Linked DNA regions of Lepisosteus oculatus. The protein of the gene in region 1 purifies or fractionates together with the protein of each later gene. This does not show direct contact. Links are inferred from orthologs where the notes say so. Each region holds a gene or a part of one and is shown in the gene's direction. Other genes may lie near its edges.

The links. Proteins that work in one complex are often made in the same cells at the same time.
Region 2: the proteins of phlpp2 (region 1) and wdr48a purify together in Homo sapiens (affinity purification with mass spectrometry; 5 studies listed by BioGRID and IntAct, with this or other methods). This does not show direct contact. The link is inferred for Lepisosteus oculatus from reciprocal best matches to the Homo sapiens genes PHLPP2 and WDR48.
Region 3: the proteins of phlpp2 (region 1) and usp46 purify together in Homo sapiens (affinity purification with mass spectrometry; 4 studies listed by BioGRID and IntAct, counting the BioPlex papers as one, with this or other methods). This does not show direct contact. The link is inferred for Lepisosteus oculatus from reciprocal best matches to the Homo sapiens genes PHLPP2 and USP46.

Annotation. Positions count from the first base shown.
Region 1 is NC_090715.1:9,959,505-9,967,648, forward strand, and holds the start of phlpp2 (PH domain leucine-rich repeat-containing protein phosphatase 2), read left to right. Parts: upstream 1-4,889; 5' UTR 4,890-6,486; coding exon 6,487-6,687; intron 6,688-8,144. UniProt on the Homo sapiens protein: Protein phosphatase involved in regulation of Akt and PKC signaling.
Region 2 is NC_090701.1:35,349,786-35,357,795, reverse strand, and holds the start of wdr48a (WD repeat-containing protein 48a), read left to right. Parts: upstream 1-4,475; 5' UTR 4,476-4,529; coding exon 4,530-4,577; intron 4,578-8,010. UniProt on the Homo sapiens protein: Regulator of deubiquitinating complexes, which acts as a strong activator of USP1, USP12 and USP46. Enhances the USP1-mediated deubiquitination of FANCD2; USP1 being almost inactive by itself.
Region 3 is NC_090696.1:78,122,743-78,130,883, reverse strand, and holds the start of usp46 (ubiquitin carboxyl-terminal hydrolase 46), read left to right. Parts: upstream 1-4,606; 5' UTR 4,607-5,261; coding exon 5,262-5,297; intron 5,298-6,684; coding exon 6,685-6,765; intron 6,766-7,256; coding exon 7,257-7,470; intron 7,471-8,141. Other genes in the region: uncharacterized protein, read right to left, coding at 1-55, 722-788, 2,360-2,625. UniProt on the Homo sapiens protein: Deubiquitinating enzyme that plays a role in behavior, possibly by regulating GABA action. May act by mediating the deubiquitination of GAD1/GAD67.

The DNA of each region.
Region 1 (8,144 bases):
AAAATATTTTTTTTTCCAAAGTTAATTTTTTCTTTGAAGGATAAGACTTTCTCAGATTACACATGAAAAGCTTGACTGCTTTGCCCAGTGATTTGCCACGTTATGTATTTTTAGTTGATAGAGGGGAGGAGCAAGGCAGTAAAGTTATTGCTAAGGTTTGAGCGGTTTAAAGGTGCTTTTACTGTTCATTGCAGTGATCTTAAAGGCTTTTTTATGTTCAATTGTTTTTCTTTGCAGAATGTACATTGGGCCTCATAATGAATCTTTATCTTCCATTCTATTCTAAAACAGAATGGAAGATCAAGATTCTCCTGACTCATGTTAATAAGTATGTTCACAAATACACCAGTATGCAGTTTAACAGCAACGACTAAGGTTTGTTTTTGTCTTCATCCAGAAAGTCTTAATTTTTTCTGTATTCGCATAGCCATTGACTTAATGTTTGTACATATAGATGGGAAATAATTTTGAATGTAATGCTATGCACGTAGTACTGTTTCTTCTGTTTTTATGTGTTTACTTTTTGTCATTGTGGCTTGTGATTTTAAAATTTTCTAAAAGGAAGCCTTTTGTTTCAGCACTTTTTCATGTACCCTTCCAATAGCATAGTTGTTTGAGAACTTTTGTTTCGTCTTGTCAAACGTCACTGAGGACAAGACATGTCCTGCAAATAATGCCTGATATCAAAGCAATGTGCCTTTTTATATCAAAGATTTGACCAATCTTTCCCTGCTTTCCGTAAATCTAGATATGTAATACCTTGGTTATATGTACATGTCTAAAATTTCTGCCTTTGAGGGACTGAAAAGATAACTTAAGTAATTGCTGTTGAGTACAGATTTTGAGGTAACTCCTATCAGTTTAGTTAGCTTAGGAACAATGCTGGGAAGTTGAAGGATTTATCAACTCACAGTAGGAGATAAATTCAATATTTACCGGTTAAAAGTGATTTTTTTAAAAAAGCTGACTTTTATGACTGAAAGTGAAACCTGATTTTAAATGGTGGATATGTTGTCCCTTTTTGGTACATTAGGTTCCAAGGTACATGTAGTGCTCCAAATTGCAATGTGTTTTCTTAGCTCTTGCAAACAAACATCATCAACTAAATACCTCACATGTTTTTTTGGGGCTTCTGTTTAAGAATTGTAAGGCATACCTTGATTATGACGAGCATAACAGGACCATGAAACAACTTTTGGGATGTCGGGGGGCATTCATTTACATAAATTGAATACTATTGATTGTGCTACTGAGTTTTTCTGTTACACTGTTTGTGAAGCTACCAGCATTGATTTATTGTGTAGAAATATTTTGCTTTTGCATTATTGTTCTATATTAACTGCTAACTTTTCGTGACCAAATCAAATAAGATCTAGCTTTTGAAAATAAAATCTTCTGTAGCAATGCCATGTGTATATGGAACAAGAGATGTATGACGTGCTTTTAGGGATTATTTTTAGACTGAACAACTTAATGCAATCAAGGCTTTTCTGTATATATTGATCACCTCAATTGCCCACCACCCCTTTTCAGATCAGTTTTCTAAAGATCAGTTTTATTCTGTCAACATACACGTGTAGTGTATTGTTTGAAATGGACTAAAATAAATCTAGTTATTTACGTAATAGTCAAATTGTTTGGCTTTCCCTGTTTTCATGTACATTACAAAACAATATAGCATCTGCTGCCTGTATATTGTATATAATTGTAAAAATGCTAAAATATCCAATTCAAGACCCAGTTATGAATAGCTAGGAAGAAATTAATTATATACAGATATTTAATAAACCTTAGAAGGATAGTTACTAATTTACTCCTTTTCATTGAATTTTTGAAGACTTTGTTCAGTTTGGGGTTATGTAATGGATAAACCATATTTTTCCTTTTTTAAGGACAGACTGAAATCTTTCAACAAATTAGTCATTTTAGATGTTTGTAAATTTTTATCTGGCTAAAATTAAAACAGTTACTTAGCCATTTCTTTTCAAAGATATGTAATTTGATAAAGATGTTTCTGTTTGCTGGTGGATGAGATTTTGTGGGATTTTTGAGGTAAAAGTCCAAAAAATATACTACTGAGTAACACTGTACAATAACACCAGAAACAACAATGTATTTGTTTTGATGAACTTCTTAATCTGTTTATATCCTCTTCAATGGGAGTGGGCCCCTTGCCAAAATGCAATAAGCTTTCTTCTGGATTGAGCTATATCTTATTGCTTCTTCACTTGATACAATCAAACCCAATGGCTGGTTTACAGACAGCCTAAATGTGGCCTTCCATTGCTTCATGTAGATGATGTACATCAAGCCTAACTAGATGTTCTGTCTTGCACTGCTATGATACGTATGTAGCTGGGATGGTCTCCTATTCCCTCTCACCTTGTTCTTTTTTTGCCATTGCATCTGATTCTGTTATGATTGTACGTGAAAGAGAAATGGTCACATTTACAGAAAAGAAAAGTCTGAAGGCTGCCCACTTCCCTTACCTGCTTGAGTCAACAGATAATACAAGAGGTATGGTGGAAAGTAGTTTTTTTACATTTACTGTAGTTGGAAATTAAGTCAGATCGGCTTTGGATGGTCAGTTTTGACACACCTGTGCATACAACTAAAGGCTTCAAGTTCAAAACTAGAGTGTTAAAAACAGACGTGTTTATCAAAACTTAAGGATTGATGGACCTGAATAGCAGGCTGCAGCTGTGGCAAGGGGCTTGCTACTCTTGTGCTTTCTGATGCCAATTGGGGTCTCTTTGCTCTATGTCCTGGCAGTTTGTCATTTGTAGTCTTTGTTATTATCTAGCATTTCTTTTTTTAATCACATTCTGCTGTGCAGCCGTCCTTTAGAAAAACAGTAACTTTTCTTTCCATTTTATAACACAAAAGCTGTAGTAGAATATTCACATTTTCTGTACTGGCAGCACTTGACCACATGGGAGTGCTGTTAGACACTGGGGAGTTGCAGCAAAGAACAAAATTGGACTGTTTCTCATTGTGTCCAGTGTTTTTTATTTTATATTCACCAGTGTATTTTTAGTTTAAAGGGTGCAGTGTTACCCCATCGTTTAAATTCTTAAATTCGCCTGTAAGAACATTGTATGCTTTTAAGTGTTGAAAGAACTGGCAGATTAGGGCACTGCGGAATTGAAACAAATCCCTGGGAAGTGTATGAACAGCAAATGGACCTTTTTAAATCCACTAATATAAATTGTTGATATATGTTTGCCTATACATGGTTGTCTTACTTCACTCCATACAAGGTAAGACACATCGGTCGCAGTGGTTGCAATCTTCAGCTTCAGAGCTGCATGTGCAAAACAGTGTAAATACTCTCATTTCTACTCTTGATGTATCTTTTTAAAATGCAAAGAAAATGTTCAACATACCTCTTTGCTGAACATGGAAAATTAAAAAAAGTTTAAATATCTGTCATTTAAAAAAAAAGTCATAGCTTTGGGGATAAAATGAAAGTGAGCATTCACACCATTCCATTTGATGTGATTGTTTTTCACTATTATGTTGGTTGATACACATGTTGTGCTTGTGTGGGAAAGGAGGAGGGAGTCAGGAATCCAGTTTCCTTCCCTTTTCTTCTCATAGAAATAAAGTCATTTAGTTGGCGAGTCTTCGTATGAAGTTCCCCTTTATGAATCTCTGGTAAAGTACCACATAAAATCTGATTGGTAAGAAAGGATTGTTGAGTTTGAGTCCATTGTCCTGAAACCTGGAAGGGAATGCAAGGCTGAAATTATAATAAGGCTGTAAACAATTTCATGGGACATTTTAGAATTCTGCTGTGTATTATTGTCTTTGGGTTGGAAAAATTATGATCAGTGACTAATAAAAATTCAAAAAACGTCCATAGAAAGCCAGTGTTTTGTATTTATTTATCTGGGACTAGTAGGAGTAGTTTGTTGACTGTTGTGGAAAAATATTGGGAGGTTTTTATGTTCATTGCGTTTCGTTACATGAAAGTGTTTGTCAGAACAATTCTTTGTATAAATGGGACAAATTATTTAAGAGCTAGTGACCTGAAATCTTTTAAAAATCTTTACAGAAAAATCCATAATCTTCAGTAAGCTGCATGCGAGACACCACAGTCACTAATTCCATTGTTCGGAGTGCGACAGCAGGCTGTTCTCGAGCCACAATCAGGTTACAAACATGATTACTGTATACCCATCAACATCATAAATTGGCTTTTTTTGACATTCTCGGTGGGTCCACAAAGCCTTTTGTTTGACCTCTTGCAGTTTAGATTTTCTTGAAAGCCTTGGCACTCTGTGCGTCTACATTTGTTTTGCACGTCGGAGGTCCCTTGAAAGCGCTTTGTCCATGCTGTCTTGGTTCCTTCTCTTTTTCATGTCCTATAATATCTTTCTAACATAAATGGCAGAATGGGAACGGCACGATTTCATCGTTTCCTTGAATGCAGTTCAGAACTGAGCTGAGCTGTGGTTGTGTTTCAGTACTGCTGAGCAAGCAGATCACTGAAGGTAAAGGCACAGGCATATGCTGTTGGTTGTTGCACAAAGATTTCCATCATGGAGCAAAACAAAGGGAGACGCCATTTCGGATTTACTCTCTGTCCGCACTGCATGTCAACACGGACAACACTCCACATTTCCGTCTGCGCCTTTTAGGGTGAAACGGGAATTCTGGAAGCGAAAAAGCAAGATCACGAAGAATACAACCTGTTGAAATTCGGAACAAAGTTCATTCCTGTCACACAGGGGACATGCAATGTATGGACGTTTGTCAAGATTGATTAGTGGTAAGAGACTGACAAAACTGGCAAACAAACTTCAGAGTGAGGGTGGTAACTTAGGTAAATGATTTACAGAGTGCCATAGTGCTGGCTTCTCAAGTGATGTGAGAGAGAGCTGTCTTGTTTATACAGCTTTGTGGATTGATAGCTGTGAGATTGCCCTGGATAGGGACATCTGCTATGCAAGTGAATAGTAATTATTAAGCTAATAGAGAGTGGAAGCTAATTAAAGAAACTAATCAACCTTAAACTTTAAATTTTAGAGTTTAATAAAATGCTTTACTGATGATGGTTTATTCTCAAAGCTGTTTTGGAGGGTAATAAATCAACAGCAGATGAGCCTTTTATTTTACAGTTTAAAAGCTTTTTTTTCCAAGTAGTTAATTCAAGTTGACTAAACATTGAGGATTAAATCTCTAAAAAAACTTATCTTTATGTATTAACACTCTCTCTAGGAAAAAAACAATACTAACATCTGATTTAGTAATCCATGGGACTAGATTGTCATACGATTTTCCTGGAAGACGAGGAAATAGACAGTTTTGTACACACAGAATACCAGAATGCTTATAATCTGCAGGTTGTTGACACTGTCCTCACTTGGACGGAGGAAAGGCTGACTTGATTTTTGCATTGTCAGGTCACCCTTTACTTCAAGATTGTGGTTTATTGCCAGTTCCTTCTTGCCTGGTGTCCTTTTCTGTGTTCCCAGCCTTGTATTGGCAGGTATTGACATTTATTGAGAAGGATTTCTAGCCACACTCCATACGCAGAGGATAACTTTACCTTTGAAGGGTGTCATTCCGCGATTCGCTACAAATGTGTCAATATCGCCAGAGCTGTAAACCGCTTCGCTGAAGCTAATGAGCAAAGCTGACGTTATTGACGAAGAATCCCACAAAGCTGCAATTCTCCAGTTGTTTGCTTTTGCAACCTGCTGTTAGGATTCCTTGCCATAAGAAAAACTTGGCAGCCTTCTCCTGCAGTATAAAAAATGCGTCGTGTTGTAAATGCCCCAGTCCATGTCATACATGCTGATGCTAGGTTAAAATGTATCACTGCAAAATATGACTGGCACATTATTAGCCTCGGCTTAAATGATTTCTTTGAGCAAAGGATTTAATTGAGTATATAGGTTTATATCTCCATTAACATGTTTGATTTTCAGAGCTTTAAAATGAGATTGTTAACGTTAATAATGAGAATATAACGTTCGTTCGGAAGAGTCCATATTATCTGTTCATGAAACAAGGTGTCCACTTTCCCTATCAGGTGAATATTTGTGGATGGGGAGGATCTTTAGATTCTTCCAGCGGTCTGGATCTGGGAATGGCCTGGACGTTACAGGTAAACCAAAGATGAGGAATGAATAACCTAGAAAAGTCTCTTATCGTGAATAGTTAAGAAAGTGTACAAATATTTAAAATAATCTCGGTTCGAGTGAGGCGTCTGTCTTAATGATAGCGAACGTACCCTGATGAATAATTCAGCGCTTTCCTCCTCTGTATGGGCAGTTTTCTATGAATAATAACTCTGGCCCTGCCTTTCTAATGTATATTGATTAGATCTGTCTGACAGTCCGTGATGTTACAGTCTCGTTATGGCGTCTTAGCAGAGCTGAATGGGATTTTTTCCTCTGCTGCCCCGTGCATTGGAATTTGCCAGTTGTGAACTGGACATTTTTTTTCCGCCTTCATCTGTAACGTATTTCAATGTAAATGGAGGAAGACGAAAGTCCAGCGGGGGCGGTACCGGGCACGGAACCGGACCGAAACGATCGAGGTGGCGGCGAAGATAGCGGCTCTTGTACTGTTGCTCCGCCAGCTCCGGAGCCTTGTGAACCGGGATCAAACCAGGCTGCGGGTCGCGGAGACCTCGTCGGACCGGGCTCCCGTGTAACTGGAATACGGGTTTTGAAGGTACATGTCTCAATCATGCTCAGTATCTAAATTTCAGAACAGACACAACCCTGCCCACATTTGAAAAGACAAGGGCCGTTATTACGTCTGATACTGTTAACAGCTCTTCTACTTTCATAGCTAGTAATACTAAGTACGGTGATTAATTTTATGTGCATTTTGTTTGCCGTTTATCTTAGTGCGTGTGCTCTTGAATCGTTCTTTTAATTTATATTCCCAACTGCATCGGTAGGTATATTTTGTTAGTCTCTACCGGGGATCTGCATAGTGTCATACCGAAGCGTAGAGTTATTCATTACTGTTGCTGTCATGATGTAACCTGTTAGATCTATTTTAAATTATTTAACGTGTTTTAGTCATTTACCCGTATTAATCTCTTAACAATTATTTTAGGAAAGAAGTAAGCACGTTAGCAATTAATGTATTGACCCATAAGAGTTACACGGGTCTTAAGTTCCGGTAATGCCCTAAACAAATCTAGTCATTATATCATGAATATTTTAGTATGCATAGTTAGCAAGTGTTTTGAAACAAAGTGATTTTTTATTTGTGATAATAGCGGTGTGCCTTTTTCAGACGTTGTTTTTTTTAAAAATCATTGACATTATTTTCCTGTATGTAACCAATATACCCCGAGACCTTAGTTCATTCGATACACGAGCAGTACTAGTTAACTGTTTCCCTTATGGATGTTCCTGTACTTCCGCCATTATGTCATAATTAACTCATTAGATGTCTCAAGCACCACTCTATTAAAGATATGCGTGCTTACTTTCTACGTATGTTTGAATGTGGGCTGTACGAATATTATTCATCATTTTTTCAATGCTTCTTATCATGTTAGTCCTGAAGACTTTAATGCTTTGTAAATCAGGATGCTCTCTTCAAATGACTGCTGTGATTGCAGTATTCTGTTCGAATTGATATAAATAAATACATAAGCTCCGCATCCGGGTTAATTAAAATATCCATTGCTATTATATATGATACGGCTGCGTACACATGTATAACCTTCATAAGTGTGAAGTGTACCTCCAGAGACGGATTTTAAAGAACAGCACACAGGGATTGGTGGAAACTGCCGTCCTTTGCTAGTGCTTTAATATTACTGAAATATGGCAAACTACCGGACATATTTGCAATGCATATCTGATAAAGAGAAGCGCAAGACCACCCTCGCTCTAAAGATTGGTATGTGTTGCATGTTGGAACAGTGGTGCTGCTTAATTGAAATCTCTTAATTAGGGGTTGTGCCAGATTTATTGATCAATTTCTGGAGTAAGACATTTCTGTGGGAAAAAAAAGGTACAAACATCATATGCCTATCTGACCATTGCCTGTAATTTCCAGAATAATGCTACTCAGGCTGTATTTCCATATTCCAGGCAGTGTGTGGTGGTCAGTTATTCAGTTATTTTTCTTAAATGTTTTGCAATCTTGAACTGACATTTAGAGAT
Region 2 (8,010 bases), on another chromosome or scaffold:
AGCATTTTTTGTGAACATAATGGCGTTTTATTTAAATTAAACGTTTCTGCTTTGCTGAGTTGGGACCCTTGGTTCAATTAGTCTGTGTGGAGTCTGTATTTTCTTTCCATGTTTGCTTTGATTTCCTCTGAGTGCTCCATTTTCTTCCCACAGCTCAAAGACATACTGTACTTTTAGATTAACTGGCTTCTAGAAGCTTCTAGGAGCACTGTCCCTGGTTACAGCACAGCTCCAAGGGGATCCTACATACATAAGTGGTTTTCATGACTGTGACAGTCTTCTAAAAAGCACACAAGTTTGACAGTGGAAATGTTTGGTAATGGAAATGATATTGGAAATGTTCATACTTTGGAAAAATAAAACATTTTGGGAACAATAAAATGTCAAATAATTTTGCCTGTTGTGCTTTTCATGTCTCTGCTTATGGCTACAATTCCCATAGCCACAGGAGAGAATGAGGAAGTGCAGCTCGACTCCTCTCACCTGCCATCTTTGAGCCATTCATTTTATAACGTGTCACAGACAACACAGACCTGTACTGAAGGTTCAGTGCTCACTGGAAGAGAGTCTGCCCGTACCTGTGAAACCAAAGGGGTTGCCGTGTCAACAACAGCCGAGAAAGTCAACTTATCTCACTCTGCCCCTGGTGGCACTCAACCATTTGTGCATAGTCACTTGGGGAATCCCAGTCACAGGTGGTGATACAGGGTGGGAATTTAAAAGCCAGATGAGGAATTAAAAACCAAAGCCGAAGTCTTGATTTGAAAAAAAAAACAACAACTGTATTTTGAATTTGAACTTAATTTCTGAGGTATTTAGACAACTTTATTACTGATTAGAATGGAGTAGAAGATCATTTAAAAAAGCCAGATTTTTGGTACATTATATATTTTTGCAGAGAGTATAACATAAATCCATAAAACTTTAATATGGATTTATGTTATAATATGTCAAAAACAGTGTACGGTATTTGATTTAAAAAAGTGATGGCATATCTATAAAAAGTAATATAGTTCTTTCTGAAATGTAGTAATAAAATACTATTCATAATTTATTCTAAAAATAAGCATGTAGTGTGTATTTATTAGTGCACCATATTACAGTAATTGCAAGATTGTGCTAAGAAGTTCAGCTAATTATATCATAACATTTTTTTTTCTGTCAGTAATGGAAAAGCTTCAAAAGAAATATTATTCAATGGATGGAAAGTTTGTTTTTTTTGTACACTTTTAGTCTTTACTAAAAAGGTCTTGCTGTTCTGGAAACAAAGATCCTGCTGAGCTAGTCTCAAAAGAATGTACTACTCCTGTAGCCTAAAAAAACTAAACCTTTTAGTTTCAAATGGAGCAAACTATGCAGAGATCTGGTTCAAGCACTGAAAACTTCAAGGTATTGACAAAGTCAGCCTTATGGGTTTCTTAGCAAGGTACTGTAACACAAATCAGAGGATCCAAACAGTAACTAAGGTGAAGGCATGTCTTTATACAAAGCCTTGTGGGAGGCAGGTGAGCTACAATACTTAATCATATTGTAAAAACCGATACCCTAAAAAAAAGACATAGGGGATCATCAAATTATTTAGCTACTGTACTACCAAATAGGCTAAATAGCTCAAATGGTTGCCTCTTATTTATATGCATTCTTTTATTTTTAGTCCAGTGTGTAGAATGATGAATATCTCAGTATTATTTGGTCTGAAAGAAAGCTAGCATTGTCCTCATTTCCTCCATGTTGGTACATGGGTCATAGCAGTTAACTGAGTAACAGGGCAAAACTGGGATCAAAATATATAAGATAAATAAAACATGAATTAAAACATCTGCCTTGTTTAACTTTTTTCCTAGACCTGCCTTAAGGGGAGAAGGAGTTTGGAGTCTGAGGCAGAAACATAACATATTGGAAGTGGAATCAAGAAGTAGGGTCTACATCATATGGAATGCTTTACAGAGAAATAGTGTGTTTTTTATATACGTATCTACAATTCTTAGCATAAAGATGTTGTTTTGCCTGGCAAAAGTGATCTCTTAACATTTTAGGTCTAAATAACAAGGTCAGACAGGCTTACTTAGTAAATATGCAGCTCGGCATTATTCCCAGACAAAAAAAAAGAGTAATTTTTAATCTCAGTGTTTAACATGATCATTGCAGCGGAAGAGAAGGCACATCTGTCTCTGCTCTGCTCTAGATAAACTGTGAGAGGACATCTGGATTTGAGTTGCTCTTTTTTAATGTGATGATACTCTTTTCTGAATTATGTTTTTAAAATGTATGGCTCTTTCTGACATTTCCAAAGGAAAATACAGAAAACAACATGAATGTGAATGAAAGGGATTGGTCTTTAATCAGAATAATAGGACAGCATGTTGAGTTCATATTGCACATATCACATTGTTGTGGTTGGGAATAGGCTAGCCACAAGAACTAAAGGATTTATTTTGAGTGTTAAATTAAGAAATCAATGTGCTTTTTTATTCTACAAACATGGTTTTAAAAATGGCAGACTAATGCAATTAAAACACACTAGAATCAATTTAATGTACCTTATATATATCAGATTTTTAATACCTGAGCAATCAAGAAGACAAAATAAAAACAGATACAGAGTTAAGAAGGCTGTGACTGCTCACACACCACTATCAGAATGGCTAGACCATTGGGCATAGACAGATGGCAACCAGATATTTTTTTAAAATATCAGCAGATCCATGACCTTAGTTAAGTACTTTGTACTAGGCACCATACCTTTAAATTAGTGCATCATATTCCACACACCTGTCCTTAATTTTCTGTAGTTTTATTCTTGATTTTTAAAGATGCTGATGAATACATAACTAATAGTTACCTGGACTTAAAAATGAGTATAAACCATGGGCATTAGAATAATTTCATATACATCGCATCATCCAGGTGGGGCTGCACATTGGTGGTGGTGGAGGGGAGTCCCCATTACCTGTAAAGCACTTTGAGTGGAGTGTCCAGAAAAGCGCTTTGTAAGTGTAAGAAATTATTATTATTATTATTATTATTATTATTATTATTATTATTGTTGTTGTTGTTGTTACTATTTTACTGATGGCTTTATCCATGATGAAACTCAAGTTTTAAAACAATCAATGAATTGTAATAATGTATAACTCAGTGTGGTATAATTGTATAATTAGGTGACTATTTTTCTATCACATAACAATGACCAAACAAAAAATGTATATATTTCAGTATCGCACATTCAAATAATAATACAGTGTGTATAAATAACAAGCAAGCAGTTTGTCTTTTGTCCACTGGAAGCCTATTGATAAATAATTACAAATGTTTTTATATAATGATAATCTGGTTTTATAATTTTATATTTTTTTCACTCTAACAAGTGGGAAAAGAAGCATAGTCGTCTTGAAGGGTTAATACGTCATTCCTGGGGGTATTACACAGTTCAGCTTTTGTAGTGCATGTTTTGATTCCCCACTGGAAAAAAAAAACTCATTATAAAAAGAGATGGAATAGCTAACCTTATATGTTTCCATAAAAAATAACTTCTGAAAATTAAATTATTTTACTTATATTGTTTCTCCTTCTATCCTCGACATTACAGGTAATGGGGACTCCCCTCCACCACCACCACTGTGCAGCACCCACCTAGATAATAATTTGTTTCACTACAAATGTATGCTACGTTTATGAATATTGATCTCAGCTTTTACATGACAAAATCTAAACATACAAGCCACCTTCGTTATTTCATAGATTGAACATAATTTGGACCGATCGTACAGAATGTGCCTAAACAGTAATTCCATTATCTTCCAGCTGGGAGGGTTTGGGGTTTATCAATGGAACAAGGAAATACCGATACACTATGTACTTTCTCCATTCAATGAATGTGCTGTATTCCCGTACATTAGTTGCACGATGACTTATAACCTGTCTAGAAATATCATAATTGACTTCCCTTAATTTAGATAAAAAATGCAAAATAAAAACATAGTTCAGGTACGGATCTCCATGCTTTTGACAGAACAGGTACAGCGTCTCCTTTCGGTGCACTCCTATCGCCCCAATCAACTTTACGGTGACCGTAGATCTGCGATTAGTGACGCAGTTATTTTACGGTGGAAGACGAGCGTCCTTTTTTATAAACTACTGTTCTTATATTATTTTATGATACAGGAACCGTATAATCTGTTTTACGAAAATCACACACCGATATATATTGAAGTCACAACAACGATTAATGTTTTTTTTTCGTTAGGAAAACGATTTGCCAAGTTCATAGCAAAATAATTACACGTCTAATTACAGATTTTATTTTCAATGTAATACGCAGAGAGACATGAATCACGAGACCATCTATTATTAATATTTTTTCCAGAATGGGGTTCTTAATGGCATTGTTTAATTCTCATCTTTTCTCTATTATATGGTAACAAGACTCCCATTTAGCGTCAGAGTTTTTCGTTTGATTGACAAGGCCCATCCGGAAGATTACGCCTTCGTTCCTTGGTGGAAGTGACGTAGAGCTGTCAACATGTAAGATGGCGGCTCATCACAGGCAGAATGCTGCTGGGCGGAGAAAAGTGCAGGTAAAATCTGTTTTTTCATCGGATCTCAGTATGTGGAGTGAAGGGTACAGGTTTAATTTAGTACAGTGACCCTGGGTAAGGATGTGTAGAACATGCGAAACGAGATAAAAAGACGTTCGTATGAACAGTTGCATTGATGTGGCTGGAATAGGGCAGGTGGTGTTCACTTAGAGGATGAGTGTACTGTAGCTGCAACATTTAGAAACTGTACTGCATTGCAATGCTCGACTAATGGGGTTCAGCTTTATATTGAGCGTATGAGCCAGAAGGATCGCTGATCACCGCATAATCGATAAATCATTCAGGTCTCGTTTAAATCTGTGAGAAAAGGTAGATTTTGAAAGGCCCGGGTTCTTGGCGGTTCTATGCAACTAGCTGTTAATTCAATGGTTCTCACAGTACTAGTCGTTGAATCCGTGTTTAGATGTACAGTATTAATCGCGGAACACAGATCTGTTAAGATTTGTTGAATAGCGAAATATGGTTTATATGATACCGAAAGTTTTTTTTCTTTATATTTTTTGATGACCTTAACCTATTTAGATTAGGACAGTAATTTCGATCCAGGTGACACCAATTGAATTATTCCCAAATGGTAAATTTGTTACATATCGTGGTATGTTTCGTTAAAATACCTGTCTCTGTAGGTGATCTGTGATACGTATTTATACGTGTATGTGCAGTTATGAATATGAAAACAGTGTATATTATATTATACAGGTATTCACAGAAGGGTGGCATTAATTGAAGATGATGGTTTTAGGTTAATATTTCCCTGTCTTGCTCATTTTTGTTCTAATTGAATGCTTCATTAGTCGTTACTTCATTAGTACTGAAACCCTAATTGATGTATTTGTTTGATGTTTGAGTGAAGATTATTATCGGTCAATGTAAAGACACAAATGGGAAAGACAGGCACTCGTCTAAGATTAAATATTCTTAGCACTGTATAAACCCATTGGTTAAATTCCACCTTGAAACAGTACATCTAGATGACATGAATTCTGAAAGATGATTGCTTGCATAGAGCTGAGTTTTGAGTTTTTAGAAAGTCAACTAATTTCAGTGTTCAAAACAAGGTTTCTCTGGGACTAGGATTGGGAATTACTGTTTTTAGATCAGTAGGTCCTGCTGTATGATCCAAATGTACTTCGTTATTTCAGATTCCATAATGGAAAGGCATGTTTCTAGAGGCAGCATACTCCCCTGACTTTATCTCTTCAGAAATATTACTCACTACTAGTGTCTTTTGTGATACTGTCATTTATTTGCTTGAGTTTGACTTGATTGATGCAGGAGTTTATGTACAGATACTTAACAGTGACTAAAATATTTTGGTACTCATGTTAAGAAACACAATGTGAAACCGTAGTAAATACAGAAAAGTTGGTCTTTTAATGATTTAGTGTCTGGTACACATTTCATTATTAAATTGTCCTTTAGTTTTAATGAAACCAAGACATTAACAGATTTTTTTTTCTTGATTTTGGACATGGACTTGATTTAAATGACAATCGTAAGACTGATTAAAGTGCTTACTGTGGTAAAATGTAGCAATTCTCTTGCTTTAAAGTATTCAGATGTACTGTACATTTGTATGTGTTATACTCTACAAGTAAAGCTGCAATAGTCCAAATGTATCTTTTGTATATTAAAATGAGAGCATTAAAAGAAATGCACCAATCTATACATGTGTGTTTTTAGAAAACTCTGCTTTCTGTGTTCTTGACTGGTCGGATCAATCTCCTGACCTCAATGCACTGGAATGATTGTAGTTTAAATTCAAGAAAGCAGTTCACAAATATATACCAAAGGATCAAGTAATAGGTTTATTCCATGCTGAAAAAAAGAAGAAAGAGAACACAACGTTTCGGCCGTGGAGCCTTCTTCAGGTGTGAGCCTGAAGGTCCTTTACATACCAAAGGATGTAAAGGACCAAGAGCAATGCTGCCTGGGGGAATGGCCAAAATTCCATACCTGGAGGAAATGCCAGAACCCTCATGGCACAATACTAGGAGACCTATCTTTACAATCCATGCAGAGGGAGGATATATGAAAGATTTTTCGGTTTCTGAATTAATTTGACTGGTGTGTTTTCTGGTCGTCTGATAAATTTGACTTTGCTTTGTGCAATGCTATCAACACTGCAATGTAACATTTTTAGGATTTTTTTAAGCAAGACACATTATTCATTCCATAAATCTTTTTGTTCTGTGTTCTATCTCTTATTTGATTAGGTGAAAGAATAAAGCTGGAGGCCTCTGTAAATTGTTGCGATTGCAAACGCCTGATAAGAGACTGTTTATAGCACTTCTCACCATATCAATACATTTTATCTCTTGAAGCCCTACATTGCGTGTGCTGACCACTAAGCCATTAACTCATTTTTTTCCATGGCCAGGACATGTTGAGGTTTTACCATTTGTGAACTCTACACCTTCTTTACAAAACCCCAGTAATAACTGGAAGAAATCTGAAAGAGAAGGCGGTGAGTCTGGTTTCTGCGATACGTAATGTATCCCAGGATGTTGGAACCTGAACGTCCTTATCTGTCGAGATAAAGTTATCTGGTCATTAAGTGCAAAATGTTTTCATCAGGAAAAAAGAAGAGATGGGCCGTTGTTTGGTAGCAAGTGTGTATCATAACAGAAACTGGAGAATCATTTGACAAGGTGTACTAACAGTTGTTTTGGGTGTTTTATATTCATTTTTGCTCAGTATTTCAATTTGTAGGGGTATTTTTTCTTGAAAGAAAAATCAGCGCCCATTAATAAATGTACACTACACTTCATTGGATGTCTCTGCCTCAGACCATTATGGAGAAATGGGCTTCACTGCACAGGGCCTCTCTCCCCAAACTGATTAAGAGCTACAATGTCACAGACAGTTTGACAGGGAAGAAGTAATGGAAATGTAACTAAAACCTTTTAGAGCAAAGTAATAGCGTGAATGGACCCTGGAGCTCTGTTTTAAGAGTTTGGAAAAGAGAGCATATGAATTTATTATTAAATTGGCTCACAGATGCATGCACAGCATCCATGTATTGGAATAAGGTATTGGAAAAAATAGAAATTGTGAACATGAAGTCATATGCATTTGAGATGATGTTTTCAAATTGTATGCACCTGTCCTCATGAATATTAGACTTGCTTATCACACCTGTGCAAGTATTATTCAGTCATTCAGTTATTCAGTCATATTTTCGGATTCATGATCTTCTGCACCATTGAATCAAACAGATGAGCTTGACTGAGTTGTAAGGATAGTGATTTGTAGAGACGGTATTAGCATGAACTGTATTAATGATATAGCTTCTGCTGTTAATCCTGATTGGACAAATATATATGCGTTGATGAGGTGGATTTTGATGGTCACAGTTGTGACGGTAGGGAAATGAAGACGGACATAGTGAACAAACTCTTCCAAATTAGTT
Region 3 (8,141 bases), on another chromosome or scaffold:
AGCAGTGCAGAGAATGAATTTCATGCCCAGTGCGCACACAGACTCCATTCCACACCTTCAAAAGATCATAAAGACAGGTGTTAACATTGTTGTCCTGTTGGCCACACTGCAAAGGTACATCTTACTCCACAACTGTCTCTACTGCAGGCACTTCAACTGCAGTGCACAGAGATTCCCAGTTCTACAAGCTCCTATACAAGGGTGTACAGATTAAGTTTGCACTCAGTGCTGTACTGCCCTTGGTCCTAGTAAACTGGACTTGATTTTGTGCTAAAACACAAGAGCCTCCCAATTTCTCTATGAGACGTGCTCCAAGATGGAGAGACAAGATTTGATGTTGCTTAAATTTCAACAGCCATCAAGCGACAGACAGAAGTTTAATACTTTATACAGTTACAAATAAAACATGTAACGGCACAGTACAATTTTAACTTCTTTTATTCACAAATAAATTGTGAATAAACCATCAAATTGCCTGAAACATCCCCATCTACTCCCAACTTGAATACAGAACAGATCTGAGCTCTGGACACACTAGACGCATGACATCCTCAGTTCCAGAGTAAATGTGTTCCTCACGACAGGATCCGAACCAGAGACGGCACCTCTGCTTCGGGTTTAAGAGAGGAGTGCTGTTCCCCCCTGTGTTGGCCACCCAAGACACTGACAGCCTTAAATGGGCAAAGCTTTAAGGGGATACAAAACCATTAAGACTGCATACCTTCCTGTCGAACCCGGAGCCACGACTACACCGCGATGGCTGGAGGACAGCATCGCCCGTCAGGGGGCTGCAATTGAAAAGACAACCTGTCAATCAGTCAGTCTCACTCTCATACACAGCACCTTTCAACACAGGGCCCTGGTGAGGCTTGTCGAGACGCGTCCACAGTCACAACCGCGAACCAGCGGGGGACCGTTCCATTGCGGCATTCAGAAACAAAAGACGAACATGGTGCATCGATCCAGTTTAAAAAAATAAGCCTCCCACAGAGAACTACTACAGCATACAAAGCAAGCACCACCGCTATGTGCACGCCAGCACTAGAATAAGAAAACGCCTGGTGTGTCCTGACGGTACCCGTGAGACCGCGCGTGTGAATCTAACCGTCTCCAGTGTCACCCCTGCATGCCCGCTCTGCGGTCCACCAGTGCAACGCCTCCAGGTCATCACTTCGACTGGGACAGTATCGACATCGGAGCTCTGACACTCAGCTCCCGCAGGGCCGGGGCTCCTGGCTTCTGGTCCAAAGTGGGCAGCGAGTGGCTGACCATTTCCCTCATCTTACAGGCGATCACACAGATCTTCCACGTGATCGAGGGCTACCGCTACCTGTAACCGCCCCACGCCAGCCTGGTTAGAAGCACTACAGTGAGGTCACCAATTAAAATAACTTAGACCCACCCTGGAGCAGATCGCAGCTGGAACACGAATCCAAAGAAAACAGGACCCTGCAGGACCCCCGATTCAGACGACACCCGAGAGGGGTCGCTCGTCACGCAACAGACCAAGGCGATCAGGACCTACCTAGGCGATCAGGACTCGGGGCAGAGAGGGCACTCATCTGTCCTCCCGTGTCGGACACGGAACGCCGCAGGCCCGCCCCCAGCTGTGGAAACACAAAAACGAGATTTTTTTCCTCCTTCTTTAAAGGAGAAAGACGCACCGACATCAAGGCGCTTCCGCGTGGAGCCCGGACCGGGTATCCCAGACCTGCTGGTGTGAAGAGCACAGTGCTGCGGGCTCCAAACGGAGGAAGAAAGGGCCGCATTTATATTTATCCGCCCCTTTCCTGGCTGGGAGGGGAAACCAGCCACAGCTCACAATGCAAACGCAGTTATCACCGAAAGCAGTTCAAGTAGGGAGCTGCGTCAGCATGCGTGAGCTGCAAAGGAACGAGTAAAAGTTTATTCCTGCTGAAAAGAGAAGGAAAACACTAAGTTTTTTTTTTCTTCTCTATTCAGCATAGAATAAAATTTTACTTGTTCCATTACCAGAGAAATACTAGCAGACGGTTCGTTCGACAAAGCTACGCAAGACGGAAACGTGGGCAAACCCGTCAGGAAAAGGCGATAACAAAACGAAACAGCAAAATCCGCATGCCACGTGGTCGCTGAAAAACCCAACTCCCCGTACAGCCTCAGCACACAACCGCGCCGCGACCTCCCCAAGCACTGCAAAGTGCATTATTACTGCGTCGCAATTCCGCTAAGCAAATTTTAATCACGTATAAAGGCTACACTACTGCTTCCTTCTACCTCTCTGAACTACACGGTTTGTCAACTACCAGGGGTAGACAGCCGGAGGCCTGTGCAGCACAAACCGCCCCCCCAGAAAACAAAGGATCCCCCAATAACTAACCATCCAGCTGATGAATAATAACGCGGGACATTGCACTCGCGTTCCCCCCACAGAAACGCTAGCTGCTGCGTCCCTCTGCGCCATTTCATTTCACGATTTCTCCAAATCTGCACAACGCCCGCACAGCCCGCGCGTCCGTCCACCGCGCGGCCCAGGAGGAAGAGGAGGAGCGCCGGTGCATGCTGGGAAACTAGCGAGCCCCGGAGCCCGGCCTCCTTCGTTAAAGGCGCAGCTCTGCACGGCACTGGCTCGACACAGCAGGCCATCGCCAGAACAGTTTGAGCGGGTGGGCAATTGGTTTGAACCGGGGGGGTGGGTTTGAGCGTCTATTTGAGACTCTACAGACGATGGTTACCTAATCAACGCCACAATATAGGAGGCACAGTCAAAAGTATTTCAGGTGGGACAGTAACTAAGAGGGAGGCCATTCAGGAGTGAAAACAGGGGGCGTTTTTAACACAAATGTTCATGGGGGGTCTGGAACACACTACCCAGCAGAGCTGCTGAAGAAGATTCCCTGGGATCTTTCAAAATATGGTGGGATGAGTTCTTGAATTCATTGAGCAGCTTCCAGCCTGATGAGCAAGCAGGGTCAAACAGTCTGACTCGTCTTCTCTCTGACATGACATACTCTGCAGTGCAGAACATACTGTACATTCACAGATACACACTGGAGCAAAAACTTTCGAAAAACACTTCATTTTTATTGTCATCTGATGGTTTAGACCTGAATGTTTTGTAGATGTTCCATTTAGGATGAGCAAAGCTCAAAGCTTCCCAGCTTCTTTGAAGGGAAATTGAGTTCTGTTTCATTTCAGCGAACCGGGGAATGTGACTGTGTAAATGTAACACAACTTGAAAGGAGCCAGAGGAGGTATCCTCCGTCCCTGGTGGGATGAGCTGTACTAGCTAATAAATCGCACGCAGCTTTGTATTCCCAACAAGCACCTCCCAGATGAGGTCTTGCAGGCTGAGTTTACTGAGTTTCTTATAAACCAAATTCAAAAGCAAACTAAAAAAAGCATTTCCATGGAAGCCCTCTTGGGAAACAATAGCCCACTCTTCTTAAGAAACCACAACCGAAGACCCATTAATCGTTTAATAAAACATTGTAGCCTCTTTACGAAGCTGGCAGACAGTTGTACAGCACCATCTATTTTAAGCATCATTAAAAACAATGAGACTTCCTCGGAACGCTGTCTCCACACAGATCCCACAGAGATCCCACAGAACTCCAAATGTCACCAACTGGCTTGATTATGGGAGATAGTGCTTCCACTGTAAACACTCTGTTTACCAGAAAAACGTTGTTACATTTTAGAAGTCTTTTTTTTGGCAAGCTTTCACAGAGCTGAAGAAACAATTGGTCAGAACTGGAAGTGCTCTGTTACAGTTGTAACGCAACGGGGGTTCAGGCGGGCACCCTTGCCGCATTAGGTCGGCCCCCCACCGTCGGGGGGCTCGAACCCGGGACTCCCGCGTCGCTCAGCAGGGACCCAGCTCGGTGAGCCGAAGAGAGATCTCTCCCCAGCCCAGGGGCTGTGGTCCTGCTGTCACAGGGAAGGGCGGTGACGTCACCTGCTCTGGTAAGCCGGCTCTTACACAGTACCTGTCGGCCGTAAGCGTTACACAGTGTTACACGTTCGCATACCCATAGATGACAACACGTGCTTCTTGCTGATGCTCTACCCTGGCTGTGACCGCAGCTCCATGGGTACTTCTAGAGGAAAGGTCTGTGTCCCCTGCTGTTGCCACACGCTAGCGTTCTACCAGAAGGACGTACGCCCCCTGACACCCTGGTTCACAGATGCTCCTCCCTAACGTCCAACAGGAATCACACCGTGCTGTGCTTCTCAGCCTGTACAGCTTCTCTAAATGTTGTTGGAACAGGTCATTTGTTTTGGTCAAAGGTTCGTACTGTTAACAGGTGCAATCACTTGGTGAAGGAGGTGTAGACTTCCACAGAATAACAGACCTCAGTAACAGACATGACTTGTCCTGTTTCCTTCGAGTGCTACACCTTTGCGAGCCTGCTGTGAGGGGATACCTACAATATCTGTTATTCGGGGCAAGCAGTCCGAGCCATGTGCCATTAACACAACAGGAAGAAAAAAACACTATACAGACTACTCCCAGCTTCAGTGCGCTCTATTTCATAGCCAAGGAAAGAGCACTGAACAGCGTGCGGAGACAAGGCCGAGCGATACTCTTAAGTTTGTCCTGAGAAAAATATAAGGACACTATTCAGTGAAGCGGTGCAACAGTGCAGCTCTGCTCAGGAACAGCAGAGCGTGTTTAACGCGGTGTGTGGAGTGGGATCAGTCCTGACAGCTGCCTTCTCTTTAAACTGCTCCAGCCTCTGTCGCCTCGCCCCCCTCCCCAGGCTCCTGGCTGCGGCGCTGGCCGGCTGATTGGCCGCAGCCCGGCTCCGGGATCCCCGCACGGCCATCCGATTAGCCCAGCCGGTCTGTCTCTCAGCCGGCCCCGCCGCCGCCGCCGCGCTCCGAGCCGGTTCGGTACCTACCCACCTCGGCGAGCGGGAGGGGGCGTGTGGCTACTTCTCCCTGCGACTCGCCGGTCCCGGCAACCCGACGCAGGCCGTCCTGTTCGCGTCCGCCGTCCGAGCGCAGCGAGGGGGCATCACCTGGCGGAGACATGCACCGAGGCGGGCGCTAGGGCGCCCCGCTGCCCTCTCGTCCCCTGCCCGGGCGGCGTGCACGCATCCGCCGGCGCAGGTCCGAGCCCGGTGGCCGGGGGGCGGTGTGTATATTGCGCCGGGGCAAGGCGGCGTAGCTCCCTGGCTCCTGGAGCTGCCGGCGGAAGACCTTTTCGGCATCGTCCAGCCTCCGTAAATCATGTTTATTTTATAAAGATGGCGCTGAGGGGGGACCCTGTAAACTAAATGACTGTCAGAAATATCGCCTCCATTTGTAATATGGTAAGTAAAGCGCTCATGCACAGGATGGCCCTCGGTGTGCGATGGTGACAGGCGGGCAGCGATCGGGGGGTACGGGGGGCTCTCTCGCCGCCGGTGCTCCCGGTGCGAGTTGCCTTAGGTCCAGCGCTGGCCGGGGCTCAGACCGGGCGCCTGGCAGGGATGCGCAGCTCTAACCGAGGGCACAAGGGCACGGCTGCCGGCCGGGGCGTCACTCAGTGGCGGGCGGGTGGATGGTTTTACTGCGGTTTCCTGCGACTTTTGCAATCGTGCGGGCTGAGATTTACCTTTTCTTTTGCCGTTGACTGTGTATATACAGTCTGTTTTCTCCCCCCGAGGATAATGCGCATCCTTCGCGTACATATTTTGAAACTTCTCCGTAGATCTGGCCGGGCAAAGAAAAACTAGGCTAATCCGCGATTAAATGGTCCCTGTTGTTCCCGACAGTTCTGAAAGACTTACACCGAGGTCAACTTTTGATAGCGTGTGGTGTGGAGCCCAGGCACCGCGCTCATTTTCCCCTCTGTCCTGAAAGTGTGTAAAATACATGATTCACAGTGCCTGTCACTGATTCCCCAAGACGAGTCTTGGGAAAACATCTGCTAATTGGAAACTCATTTTAACTGCCTCTCCTGAGACGTAAAATATTTATGATGATAACAAGCACGCTAGCTTGCAGGTTTAGTAAGTTGTGGCGAATTATGAGATAAAGTTTTTCTCGTTGTGTTCTTTTTTTCATAAAGAGCATTAAAGAAAAACCGGGACAGTTCCAATTACTTTTTTCAGCAACCTTAGACATTATTGAACATGTTCTTGCAGTGTGATGTTTAGTTCCAGTATGGAAATAATGACAGGTTCTATATGTTGAATTTGAAGGAGAAAATTATCGATACATTGCACTATAACCCCAGAACCTTCTGTCCTGATCTCAGCACAGCTCAGAAGCTCAGCAAGGCCGGGCCAGGTCTGCAGGGGGGCCACTCTGGGAAACCAGTTTGCTGTTGTAAATGGTGTTGATGGACCAGTAGGAGGCACTCTTCCCTCTGGTTACAAATTCCAAAACCATTGCAACAATGAGGTGACCAGCACACTGTTCAGCAGGAGGTGCTGTACTTCAGATTAGTTGTTAAACTGAGGTCCCTACGTCTTGGTCTCCTGTAAATCTCCTTTGTTATTGCCTGAAGAGACTGTCAAAGGATATTTGGGTAGTACTGAGAAAACTAAATGAATCTGACTTTTGCTGCAGTGTTCCTCCGAGTGGCGGTATCTGTTTTCAGCTGCACCTGCAGCTCAGCGCTCTTGAATGCAGCTGTCAGGTCGCTGCGAGGCTTGAAGTTTGAAGTTAAGGAGCTGAGATCCGCCTGTCAGCTCGATCTGTGTTTTCTTACAGGGCACCAATGCCTCTGCTCTGGAAAAAGACATTGGTCTGGAGCAGTTTCCAATCAATGAACACTACTTCGGCTTGGTCAATGTAAGTAACATTTCAATACTTATTTAATTATGCATCTTCTCCATTCATATTGCTTCGTTCTCCAGTCGGAAACTGGCACCCTGTTGGAGGAGCAGGCATTGGTGTCGAAGGGTCTTAGTCATCAAATATGGTTCTCCTAGATGAAGAGTGTACTGAAGGGGTTGGAAAGTCATTTAACCTTTGAATTGAACTGCGCATTAAAAAAGTAAAAAACTACAATCAGCAGGCATTCGCCTGGCACTAATGGCCCCTGTAGTAAAGGCCTCTGGAATTGCAGGAACAGTTGAGGCCCCGGATAAGCGGCTCTCCTGCAGAGGGTTCTGGGAGTCTTGCACCCAGCAGGCTCTGCGCAGAGCTTCCCCAGGCCTCTGGCACACGTGTCTTTTTTAAACTAGACGAGCTTCTCCCGCGGAGCAGGAGACTCGTTCTCCCCCGGGGAAGGGCAGGCGTGTAATTGAGAAACCCCCTGTCTTCCTCCTTCTCGCCTGTAGTTCGGCAACACGTGCTACTGCAACTCGGTGCTGCAGGCGCTGTTCTTCTGCCGACCGTTCCGCGAGAACGTGCTGTCCTACAGAGCCCAGCAGAAGAAGAAGGAGAACCTGCTCACCTGCCTGGCCGACCTCTTCCACAGCATCGCCACCCAGAAGAAGAAAGTGGGCGTCATCCCCCCCAAGAAGTTCATCTCCCGGCTGCGCAAGGAAAACGGTGAGAGCCTCTGGGGGCGCTGCGTGGCGGCTTCGACGAGGGCCGGTGCGTTTTTACAGAGCCCTCCTGGGACACGCGTGACAACACTGAGATCACCACACGTTTAGGTTGCTTTCTCCTTTTCCCCCCAGAAGCAGTCTTGCGTTGTCCAGAAACGACACGTTGTCCGTGTTACAGCTCATCTGTGCAGATTTCTGAGCGGCCTGTTCACGGTCATACGTGTTGTCCTGGCACAGCGCTCGGATGAGCGCACGCCAGTGGGGTCACGCGCTCAGGCTGCTGGCTGTGGACGTCGTACAGTACAGTGCTCCAATCCCAGGCATCAGTGCTCAGTAAGACTGCATGTGGCCTACATCCAGCTTTGAACGGATTCTCCAGGAGAAGGATTCATTCTACAGTATCTGGGAAACGTCCTGGGAGCTCCACCAAAGAAAGGAGTACTGAAGAATAAATTAACTTGCTTTGATCTGACATAGTCTGACTTTCCTTAGAATTGTCTGTGCAGAACAACAGTAACAATTTCTGATTTGCCAGTTTCATAACTGCAGGGATTCGGGTGTTTATTTAGACAGATGAAGAACCTGCATATCAAGCGCCATTTCTTCATTTGAATAACCTTTTTGAGACCGCACACCAAAATGACTCACACCCGCGCCACAGCCAGCCCCCTC